Linked DNA regions of Arabidopsis thaliana. The protein of the gene in region 2 interacts with the protein of the main gene of each other region in a pairwise test. Each region holds a gene or a part of one and is shown on either strand. Other genes may lie near its edges.

Region 1 (5,757 bases), on a different chromosome or scaffold from region 2:
CTTGTGGCTCTCTTTATGTAATTTTTACTGAGATCAATAGCAGATGGAGAAATACACACCACATATGACTTAGCAAGGCCTGTTAACGGCCCAAATGCAAGACCAATTCAAGTTTGTATTATTAGGTATTATTTATCTAATTAACGAAATATCAAATGAGGGCGTTTGGTCTAGTGGTATGATTCTCGCTTTGGGTGCGAGAGGTCCCGAGTTCGATTCTCGGAACGCCCCATTTGTATTTTTTATGTTCACACTCTTTTTGCCACTCTTTTTGCCAAATAGTCCATTTTTCCCAAAAGATCCATAACTTTAAGAACATGTAATCATTAACCAAAGTTAGTTATTCTTGGTGAATCTAGTTGACTTTGGGAGAGGAGAAAGAACCGATTTTAGTTATTCTTCCCCATTATTGAAGTCTAGTTCTCGGCCAAATATTCAACAACAAAAAATTGACTATTGTGAAAATTAGGCTTGTTTTGAAATAGGTCTAACTTAAGATATTAACCATAAATTCGGTTATTGTATTGTTGTTTGGTACAATGTAAACCGGTTACTAAACCGGAACACTCTACATATAAAGAGTGTTTCATGTAACAGAACAATTAAGAAGAATAACAAATTTTTCTCATCTTCTTCATTTCTCTGAATTCGTTCATCAACTATTATGGTATCAGAGTGATGGATCTCGAAGATTCATCCGATTCAACCTAAACTCTGAGTATCTTCGAGCTCTTGGATCTTCCAAACTCGTTGATTCTTTGTTTCTTCAATTTTCTACGTTTTCTGGAAAATTTCAGTTGTTTAGAGCTTCGTTGATCTTGCGATGGTTTCCGTAGAGAAATTGCGGCGTCGTACTAGAAGATCGAGCAAAACTTCAGCTGAGAAAACTCCAGATCGTGTTCAAGCTTCACCGATTCCACCGATTCCACCAATTTCGAATCCGTTTCAACAAAATTTCAATTCAAAACCATCGATCTATCCTTTACCACAGTTCGACTTCTCGGATGCTCATTATTCGCCATTCGCGCTCTCAAATGGTGAGTCCTGGGAATACACTTGTTTCTGAGGTACTTGATGGATCTAATTTCTCTTCTTGGAAGATTGCGATGTTTGTTTCTTTGAACGTTAAGAATAAGATTGCTTTTGTTGATGGAACTTTACCAAGACCTCCTGAATCTGATCCTAGCTTTAGAGTGTGGTCACGATGCAACAGTATGGTTAAATCTAGGATCCTTAATTCTGTTACAAAGCAGATCTATAAGAGTATACTTCGTTTCAATGATGCTGCAGAGATCTGGAAAGACTTGGATACTAGATTTCACATTACGAATTTGCCAAGGTCTTATCAGCTAACTCAGCAGATTTGGTCACTTCAAAGTTTTGCTTTCAATGATATCTCTTTCTCACCTTCGACTTTATGGTTACTATGTTCTCTAACGTCCTCTAGACAAGTGTTATCACAAAATACATGGATCATAGATAGTGGTGTTACTCATCATGTTTCTTATGATAGGAATATGTTTGAAAGCCTATCTGATGGTTTAAGATTAGTCCATTTCTAATTTTCTACTAAGATATATTTTTTCCAACTCAAAGTGAAAAAATTGCGAATAGTATAAATATACAATTGTTTATTAAATATTGATGTTCTTAATATTATTACATAAAAATAATTTTTTATATGTAATAGTATTTTTAGAAAATTTGGTTTCTCTTTTTTTTTTTAATAATAAAACTAAACAGTCTCTAAAAATTTATATTCGGTTTGCTTAATGTTAATTTTGTTGTTAACCAAAACTTCGCACCTCCCTTACTTATCCAATTATCAACATTTAATATTTGTTTACATTTATACAATTATCCAATTTATTTACAGCAATTTTTCCGAATTAGTATTCGACTGTTATTGGTGAAATTCGAGCTGGTTAATAATATTTATCAAAAATAAGTTTCTATAAATAAATCAAATTAAAAATGTTTCTTATTTTAAGTTTTTTGACCGTTCGCGTGTCATGTTACGACTACCGGCGTCTATGGAGAAATCACCGCAAAATTTATAGAGAGAGTAAAACGAAAGAGAAGAAAAAAAGGAAAACGAAAAAAAAACGTTTCTTTTTCCAGAGAGGTCTTAAGAGAGAGGAGAGAGAAAAGGCATCGCTTTGTATATAAGCTAAAGAAAAGCCAAAAAACAATCTAGAGGTTGGGAGAAGAAGAAGAAGAAAAGAGAAGAAGCTCTTGTTATCCCGGCGTTCTTAAAACAACGACGGCGACGGTGACGGCTAAGCGGAAGAGCTTTTGTTGCCAATGACGGACTCTTACGGCGCCGTCTCCGTCGACGTTGGAACAATCTATCTTGGTGGCAAGGTTTCATTCTTTAACCTTTGAACTCGGATCCGAATAAAGCTTTGATTTTTGTTTCTGGGTTTATCTTAAACTTGCTTAAATCTAATCTTTCTGTTGATTTGGGGAAGAACAGACATGTGGGCATTGTTAGATTCATTTGTTTTTGTAAAAAAAAGACTCATCTTTTGTTTGAATCAAATGTTCTTGGAGAAATTCTTTGCTTGTGGATTTGTGAAACTTCTTTTATTATTATGATTCATTTCCAGATGGGATTATTCTTGGGATCTTCTTCTTCTCTCTATTCAAAGATATCTTCTTCTTATTATTATTTTGTATTCCTTATTCTTTGTCTTATTGCCTTTTGATTTTTTTATCTTATAGAAAAAAGAAAAGAAAATGCCAGCTGTTTTTGTCTACCATTAACCTTTTGTTTAATAAGACTAATGCTTCTTTATTATCTCATTAAGACTCATATTAGCTCATCTTTTTTAAACTGTCATTCCCTTTTTATTAAAAAAAAACCACAATGATTAGAATTAGGCCATTTCTCTTTGGTTGTTGATGATCAAGTTTTTGGTTTTGTTTTTTTGCCCTTAAAAGTAGTAAAGCTGCACATGGAAAAGCTTTAACAGAGATGTTTTCTTTTTTGTGTGTGTGTTAATCAAAGCATTTCTTTTCCACCTAAAGTCAGTTGTCATATTCCTATCTTTAGTATACATTTACTAACGAGAAAATAGATTCATTGTTTACAAACACATGTTTTATGAATATGGAGTAGACAAATGGTATGGTTAAAAGTTTAGTTTTTTTCTGTTGGTTTCATGATCCGTTACTTTTGTTATAACTTGTTGGTTTCTTGTGTTCAGGAGCATCGTGTTAAAACTGCTAGTGGTGTTGTGTCTGTCATTGTCTATGGAGACAGAGAAAAGCCAGCATTGATTACTTATCCTGATTTAGCCCTAAACCGTAAGGCTAAAGAATCTCTATAGGCACTAATGTAATGGCTAAATTTATTAATGTTTTTGTTGTTTCTTCTTCAGATATGTCATGCTTCCAAGGGTTATTCTTCTGTCCTGAAGCAGCTTCATTGCTGCTTCATAACTTCTGCATTTACCATATCAGTCCACCTGGGCATGAGGTCCAATATTTTAGTTTCTCTTTTTTTAACTTGCCGTATGCTTTGCTTGACGTGATTACTTACTCACATGACTTCTCTGTTTTCTTGCAGTTAGGAGCTGCTCCAATTTGTCCTAATGATTCAGTCCCTTCTGCTGAAAACTTGGCAGATCAGATCCTTGAAGTTCTCAACTTTTTCGGGTAACGATGGAATCCCTTATTTTTGGCTTATTGAAGTTCTCAACTTTTGTTTTTCGGGTAACAATGTATAAGCTTTTTGTTCAGCCTTGGTGTTGTGATGTGTATGGGAGTGACTGCAGGTGCTTATATCCTCACCTTATTCGCGGTATGTTCCTATTTATTTTTCTCTTCTCATTGCCCATTGCTTCAGAAGAATACTGTGTTTATCATCTCTTCTATGTTTTAAAACTTTTCAGATGAAACATAGAGAACGGGTTCTTGGTTTGATTCTTGTCTCACCGTTATGCAAGGCGCCGTCTTGGTCTGAATGGTTTTACAACAAGGTTATCACAAACTTGTTATATTATTACGGAATGTGTGGAGTGGTAAAGGAATTTTTGCTTCAGAGATATTTTAGTAAGGTGTGTTCACTGCAGTTACCATTGCTCTCTCTCTGCACTTGTTGCATTTCCAGACTTCTCTTATTTAAACCGGTTGCAACTGCTTGCTACAGGAAGTCCGTGGTAACGTTGAGATTCCAGAGTCAGATATAGCACAAGCTTGCAGAAGAGTCAGTGTTTATCTCTTCTGTTGTTTTTCTGTTTCATCAATAGATTGATTTTACTGTATCAGTGATTCACACCTTGCACTTTTGGTGATTGTCTCAGCTGCTTGATGAAAGACAAGGCATAAACGTTTTGCGATTTCTTGACGCCATTGACCGGTAACACAACAAACACCTCGAAATCCTTTACCTTAGAAGCATTCATTCATTCATGGTGTCAAATATTGACTTTTCTTTAACTTTATGCAAACCAAACCTTTGCTCTTGCAGGAGACCTGACATCTCAAGTGGATTGAAGAAACTAAAATGCAGGACACTTATCTTCATCGGAGATCAATCTCCTTTCTACTCAGAAGCTGTTCACATGGCAGCAACTTTGGATAGAGGATACTGTGCTTTGGTTGAGGTTTGAGAAAACGAATCCTCATCCTTTGTACTTTACATATAAACACATGTTTGGTTTTCTTGCTACTAATAGATGTTTTCTTGGAAATATTATCAGGTTCAGGCTTGTGGTTCAATGGTAACAGAGGAGCAACCACATGCAATGTTGATCCCAATGGAATATTTCTTGATGGGTTACGGATTATACAGACCATCTCTTTTCTCCGAGAGCCCTAGAAGTCCACTTAGCCCTTCTTGTATTTCACCTGAGCTTCTCTCTCCTGAAAGCATGGGATTAAAGCTTAAGCCTATCAAAACCAGAATTTCGGCGGCTTAAGTGTGTGTGCACTACTGATTCATTGGTTCTAATTTTGCTGAGGAGAAGAAATCTTAGGGCTTTTGTAGATATAGAACAATACTAGGGAGATTTGAGAAGAAGAAGACGAAGAAGAAAAATTCAAGCCACCATCATATAACACATTCTTTTGTAGTCAGCCGACACGACAGTTCTCTTGTTAAGATGCCACAAAATGTTGTTTATTATTTCATTTTTTTATACATATGTAAAATGTTCTGTTCTTGTGACATTGTAACAATTGTTTTGTGACGAACTCTGCAGAAGCAAGTAATAAAATTCATTTTGCATTTTGTTTTTGGTTCTCTAATTGGCCTTACAAGCACATTGATTTCACCAAGTTAGAATCTGGTTTTTGCTTAATATTGATATTTAATGGTTTAACAGTCTTGATCCTGAACTATTTGGATCATCAGATTGAAACTTTTTAGTCTGAATTGAATTGTAAATGGAAATGGAGACCAATCCTTCTTTGCAGAAGCCGTAAGTTATATACTGATATAAGATACGCATAAGGATTAGTTGCGGTTGACGAAAACATAGTCCCTCATGAACCGGGGTAAAGGCGAAGAATGCTTCACTTAGTCTGAACAAGTTCAATGCTCCTCGATGTTTGTCAAGCCCGTAAAATGGATGCAGACAAGTGTAAATCCGAGCCAAACCCGAATACAAAGTAGAAGAAGTGTATAAACTCTTGGATAACTAATGATTGAATAATAACATCAAATTAAGGCCATTTCTTGTATTGAACATCGTAAGATGTTTTGTAAATTACAAATACAACAAAGCTCACTTACCTCAGCACCTCTCTATA
Region 2 (4,786 bases):
AAATGCTCGAGTTCGACTCTGGAAACCGATGATAGAAGAGATGTATAGAGAGGAATTTGGAGATTCCTTAGATGAATCAATGCAAAGAGAAGCCAATGATGATTCAAACTAACTGAAAAAAAAGAAGATAAAAACAGAACAGAGGTTCTTCTTCTTCTTCTTCTACTTCTTTTGATGATTCTTAGTCTTTTTATCCCTTCTTTTGTATGTTCCTATCTTTACTCTTTTCCGAAATCTGCATTGTACTTGCACTGGACTCAAGTTTCCTTGCTTCGCCTAGTTTTGTTACAGCCTGAAAACGTGTTTTAGTATTGATCATAAGATGAAGATTGCAACAAATAATCCAAACATAAAAAAAACATCACAATAAGCAGAAACGTACTTACCTTGATGAAATCGTTAGGTCAAACACAATGAACCTGTTTCTTGCGGAACAATTGAAATCAAAATCAAAACAACAAATCAATCCAAAACTTGGGAAGTTTAACACCAACTCGTTGCTCGTTGAAAAATTTCAGGATTTGTGAGAGGAAGTTCAATGTAATGTCTTAGGTCTCTGATTTGTTTAGATAAATCACCAAGATCTGAGTAGCTAACATCTCTACCATGCCGATGCACCAATATTATAAAGAGTAACTCGGGTTCCAGAAACTAGCTTTGATTGATCCACTTTCGACCCCAAACGTTTTGGTTTTATCAGTTTAATTCCTGGAGATTCACACATTATATGACACAAGAATACGGCACTTTACTTTCAGATTTTAGCAGTAAAACTCATCTCAACTCGTATTTCGAAATTTAAAACATCATACACAAAAAAAAAAAAAACACCTTTCCTTTGGGTAGTATTTGTAATTTTCTATGAACAGAATAAGTAAGAGAGATCAAGAAACATTTTACAACATTCTAGTGATCTCATCGTAAAGCACGAGCCTTTGCGTGTTGCAAGACTTCTTTGAGTACCGAAGCTATTCGATGTGACATATGATGTTCCAAAAACATCTCTTTTACTCTCTCATACCCATTTTTTCCCATTCTCAGCCGTAACTCAACTTGCGTCGCCAACTTCACTATGTTCTTGGCGAGAGGTATCACTCCTTCTTTCCCTGCACTATGTAACAGACCAGTCGTTCCATTCACTACAATCTCCATTGTTCCTCCGGCTGCAGTACCAAGTACAGGTAGCTTAAAGGCCATGGCTTCGATTGTTATTCTCCCAAAGCATTCTCCTCTGGCTTGGGAGTTTTGGACAAGAACGTCTATGGCTGCTATATATGGTGCTACGGTTAGAGTTTTGTTGACGAAGTGGACAAAGTTCTCAAGTTTCTTTTCTCGGACAAAGTTGCGTAGCTCTGTCTCGAACTTTGTCTGCTTGCTCATGTCGCTTCCTACTACTACTGCATGCATTGTTGGTACCTGAAGTTTCTTCTCTTTGATTCTTTCAAGACTTTCGTGGAAGGCTCGGAGGAACAGATCCTGGCCTTTTCCACGCGATACACCTGGAAATAGTAACAAACTTAAAGTAAATTCATTGGTGACGCGTGAACTCTTACTCCTTAAAAGATGATGATGCTCGTCAGAAAACAGAGAAAAAGAAAGACTTAAAAAAATGATGGCATACTATTAATAATGCCAAAGAGTAAGTCTTCATTCCGCACTCCAAGAGATTCTCGGACGTGCTCACGGAGAACTCTCTTGGCAACACTATCTTCAGCTACTTCCATCAATTCCTTGCTATTTCCTAGGTGCACAACGTAAGTTTTGGGCATTTTAATCCTGTATATCAATAGTCATAAAACAATGTTAATCTTTAAGAAGAAAAAACAGGTGAATCCAGCTGAAATGAGGCAAGACTATACACAAATATCTTAGTTTTCTGTATATCATTCACATGAAGCAGGAGGTGCAAAGAGGAAACATACCCTAGGCGAGCTTGTGTTCTGTTTTTCCAGTATCCAGCTGTTGCATGCGAATCAATCATGGCCCCTGCAACAAAGGGGAGGTGTTTGACCAAATCAGCATTGAAATAGTGTCCTCTCATCTCATGAATCCACCATAGGATCTTAGGTAGAACTTTAACAACATTTTCTTTTAGAACAGCATCAAGCCATTTCCCAGCCACAGCAGTATTAAGAACAATCAAATCAGCCTTGAGAGATGTATCTACAGCTTTCTGACCCTTTGCAGAGATAACCTGAAGTCAGATACCAAAAATAAGAACTTGTCAATTAACAGAGCTCAAGACAACATCTTTCCAACAAACTCTGAAGTCTATTGGTAGGAACTACGAGAGAACCTGAACTCCTCGATCCAACATCTTGTGTTCAAGACTATAGACAACTTCATCATCTTCAAGTGGCTTTTGATTAGTGATCCAAACAACGTCAGCACCAACTCCTCTTAACAAAAACGCCAATTCCATCAATAGCAAAGGTCCACCTTTTGTCACACAAAATCAATCATCACCTCAAAAAAGTATGATTTTTTCGAGAACCCAGATCAAATTAGAAATCAAATCAGCAGAACCTGAGAGTGATAGCTCGTGGGATACTAACAAAACGAGCTTCGATTTCATGAAATCTAGAGGATTCGATTGAAACTTCGCGGCGCTGCTTTCTCCATTCTTTTCTTCCACGAATTGGCTACTAATGCTACAGGTTTCAAAGCTAGATCTCACGAGAATCATACACACTGTTGATACAGATAGAAACAACAAAACCATCAGTGCCCATCTCTTCCTTTGCATCGTCGACGCTTTGACCATTGTTTTCCTTTGCTAAAGACACATCCTAAGGTTTTCAATAGTCTAGATCTTCGCAAATGACTCGTCGAAACTAAGCTAAAGATCTCAAAAATCAAACCTTTGAAAATCAAATTCGAGACGAGAATGGGCAAGAAATTGGATCTCTGAGTAGAACTGTAAAGTGAGTTATACTGAGAAGAACCTTGAAAGAAAATTTTGATCTTTAAAGGTTTCACAGTGCACGCCGTTATTGGAAGAACGTCTTGCCGTTTTTAATCCCTCTGGGCCACTTAAACCCGCATATTATTATGGGCTCTAAAAAGGCAATTATGTTCATTAACATAGAAACTCCAGTCTCCACTTTTAGTTTGTATCACGATTAATGAGGTTTAAGATACTAATGACTTTCACATCTCATGCACTGAAAATTTACTGTGTGCTACGTTATTTTATGTTTTGAAAATGTATTTTCACTGGTGGAATCAATCTTTATGGCAAGAACAACAATATTTCCCTTGTTAGTTTAAATACAAAATATTTATGATCATAAATTGTGGATCGTGCATATATAATTTCTCAAACGCTATACAGATAGAGACTTGAGTGTAACGCAAAACTCATATTAATCTGTGAACTGTAGTATTACTATTTACCTGGGAACATCTAATTAACCGTACCATAAACTCTTACTTTGTTGCCATTTACATGTAGTTTAACCAGATTGCTCTTGAAAATAGGAAAAACTCATGTGGTTAAACGGTCCGACTATTTATGATTAACAACTGCGATTAATTATATCTTAAGGATATTAATTATTATTAGCTGTCATACCATATAGCTAGGTGTACAAAAAGCTTTTTGTCCAAACAAAAGCTGTTGATTTCTTACTCGTCATTTCCTCATTTAGCACTATCATCATCACTCATCATCGATTCATCATCTTCTTCAAATTATATACTCACGATATGTATAATATTATTATTCATAAGAATACTCATCATAAATAGCTTTAGAAAACCACATTCATTTAACCTATTTTAGAAAGTTAAAAATATTTGATCCTTTCAAACTTTCCCACTGTATATACTCCCATATTCAACCAGCTGTGTGTAGGGTTTATCAGTTGTACATTTAAAAACAAACAAATAATCTACTCATAAATATATAAAATTTCATAAAAAAAGAATTTGTTGTAACACATTGATTCTCCTTGAAAGGTTTGTGTCGGCTGTTCCAATCTATGACAAAACCGAAACTCAACCAAAAACAAAAAAAAACATTAAAGAATAAAAGAAATAAACGAAATATACAGAAATTGAAATAAGAATAACATTTATTAAGATGGACACAAAGCCGTTAGCTTCGTTCCGTTAAGGAACGTCTCTACGAAACAAATTGGCGTCCAAGTCTTTCGTTTTTGGCCACTTTCACCAACTTCGCGTCCGACACAGCTACCTTATTTATTTCATTTTTCATCATCTTCTTTCGAATTCTACTTTTTCTATTATTTATTACACAACCTCCTTAGATCCTTTGGGACATGGAATCGACCCATCATAACTTTTCTTTTCATTTTATTGTTTTGCGTATAAATACATTTTCTTCATGTAGGTCAAATGAATCACTTGATTATTTAAGAAAATATGTTTATTTGTTAGTCAACTAATTGGATTTTTTCGTTCCAAGTAAGGAAATTGGGTAGTCACCAACTGGTTGTTAAGGTCCTTTAATCCCTCAATTAAGCAATTGAGCAGACACAACACTTCTTCCTCAAAGCAACATTTCTGGCAAATCAAAATTCTCTAGGCCTAGGGATACTTTAGTAATTTTAATTACTTTATATTCAATATATTGATTTGTTGACAATTCTACTTATATCTTTATTTTTAATATGTAAATAATAGGAAGATATTGAAAAAATGGAGTTAATTAGTTTCCTCTTTTGCACGTCACTTAATAAGAGTATGTGTGTCCAATGTATTACGCGAAGAAACAAGTATATAACGTATAAACAGTAGGAGACCTCAAAAGATGTTTAATTTT

The links.
Region 1: the proteins of AT1G75420 (region 2) and NDL1 interact in a two-hybrid assay, tested with the Arabidopsis thaliana proteins (one large-scale study listed by BioGRID).

The regions. Positions count from the first base shown.
Region 1 is NC_003076.8:22,955,682-22,961,438, forward strand, and holds NDL1 (N-MYC downregulated-like 1), read left to right. Parts: upstream 1-1,947; 5' UTR 1,948-2,304; coding exon 2,305-2,364; intron 2,365-2,827; exon of another isoform or gene 2,828-3,125; coding exon of another isoform or gene 3,126-3,128; intron 3,129-3,209; coding exon 3,210-3,309; intron 3,310-3,383; coding exon 3,384-3,481; intron 3,482-3,571; coding exon 3,572-3,660; intron 3,661-3,744; coding exon 3,745-3,805; intron 3,806-3,896; coding exon 3,897-4,061; intron 4,062-4,153; coding exon 4,154-4,210; intron 4,211-4,307; coding exon 4,308-4,363; intron 4,364-4,474; coding exon 4,475-4,610; intron 4,611-4,706; coding exon 4,707-4,925; 3' UTR 4,926-5,235; downstream 5,236-5,757. UniProt on the Arabidopsis thaliana protein: Interacts with the heterotrimeric G protein beta subunit GB1 and plays an significant role in GB1-dependent regulation of lateral root formation. Involved in a signaling pathway that modulates root auxin transport and auxin gradients.
Region 2 is NC_003070.9:28,303,447-28,308,232, reverse strand, and holds AT1G75420 (UDP-Glycosyltransferase superfamily protein), read right to left. Parts: upstream 3,016-4,786; 5' UTR 2,765-3,015; coding exon 2,527-2,764; exon of another isoform or gene 2,440-2,526; coding exon 2,297-2,439; intron 2,195-2,296; coding exon 1,923-2,194; intron 1,777-1,922; coding exon 1,622-1,776; intron 1,500-1,621; coding exon 916-1,499; 3' UTR 685-915; downstream 1-684. Other genes in the region: BLH11 (BEL1-like homeodomain 11), read left to right, coding at 1-112.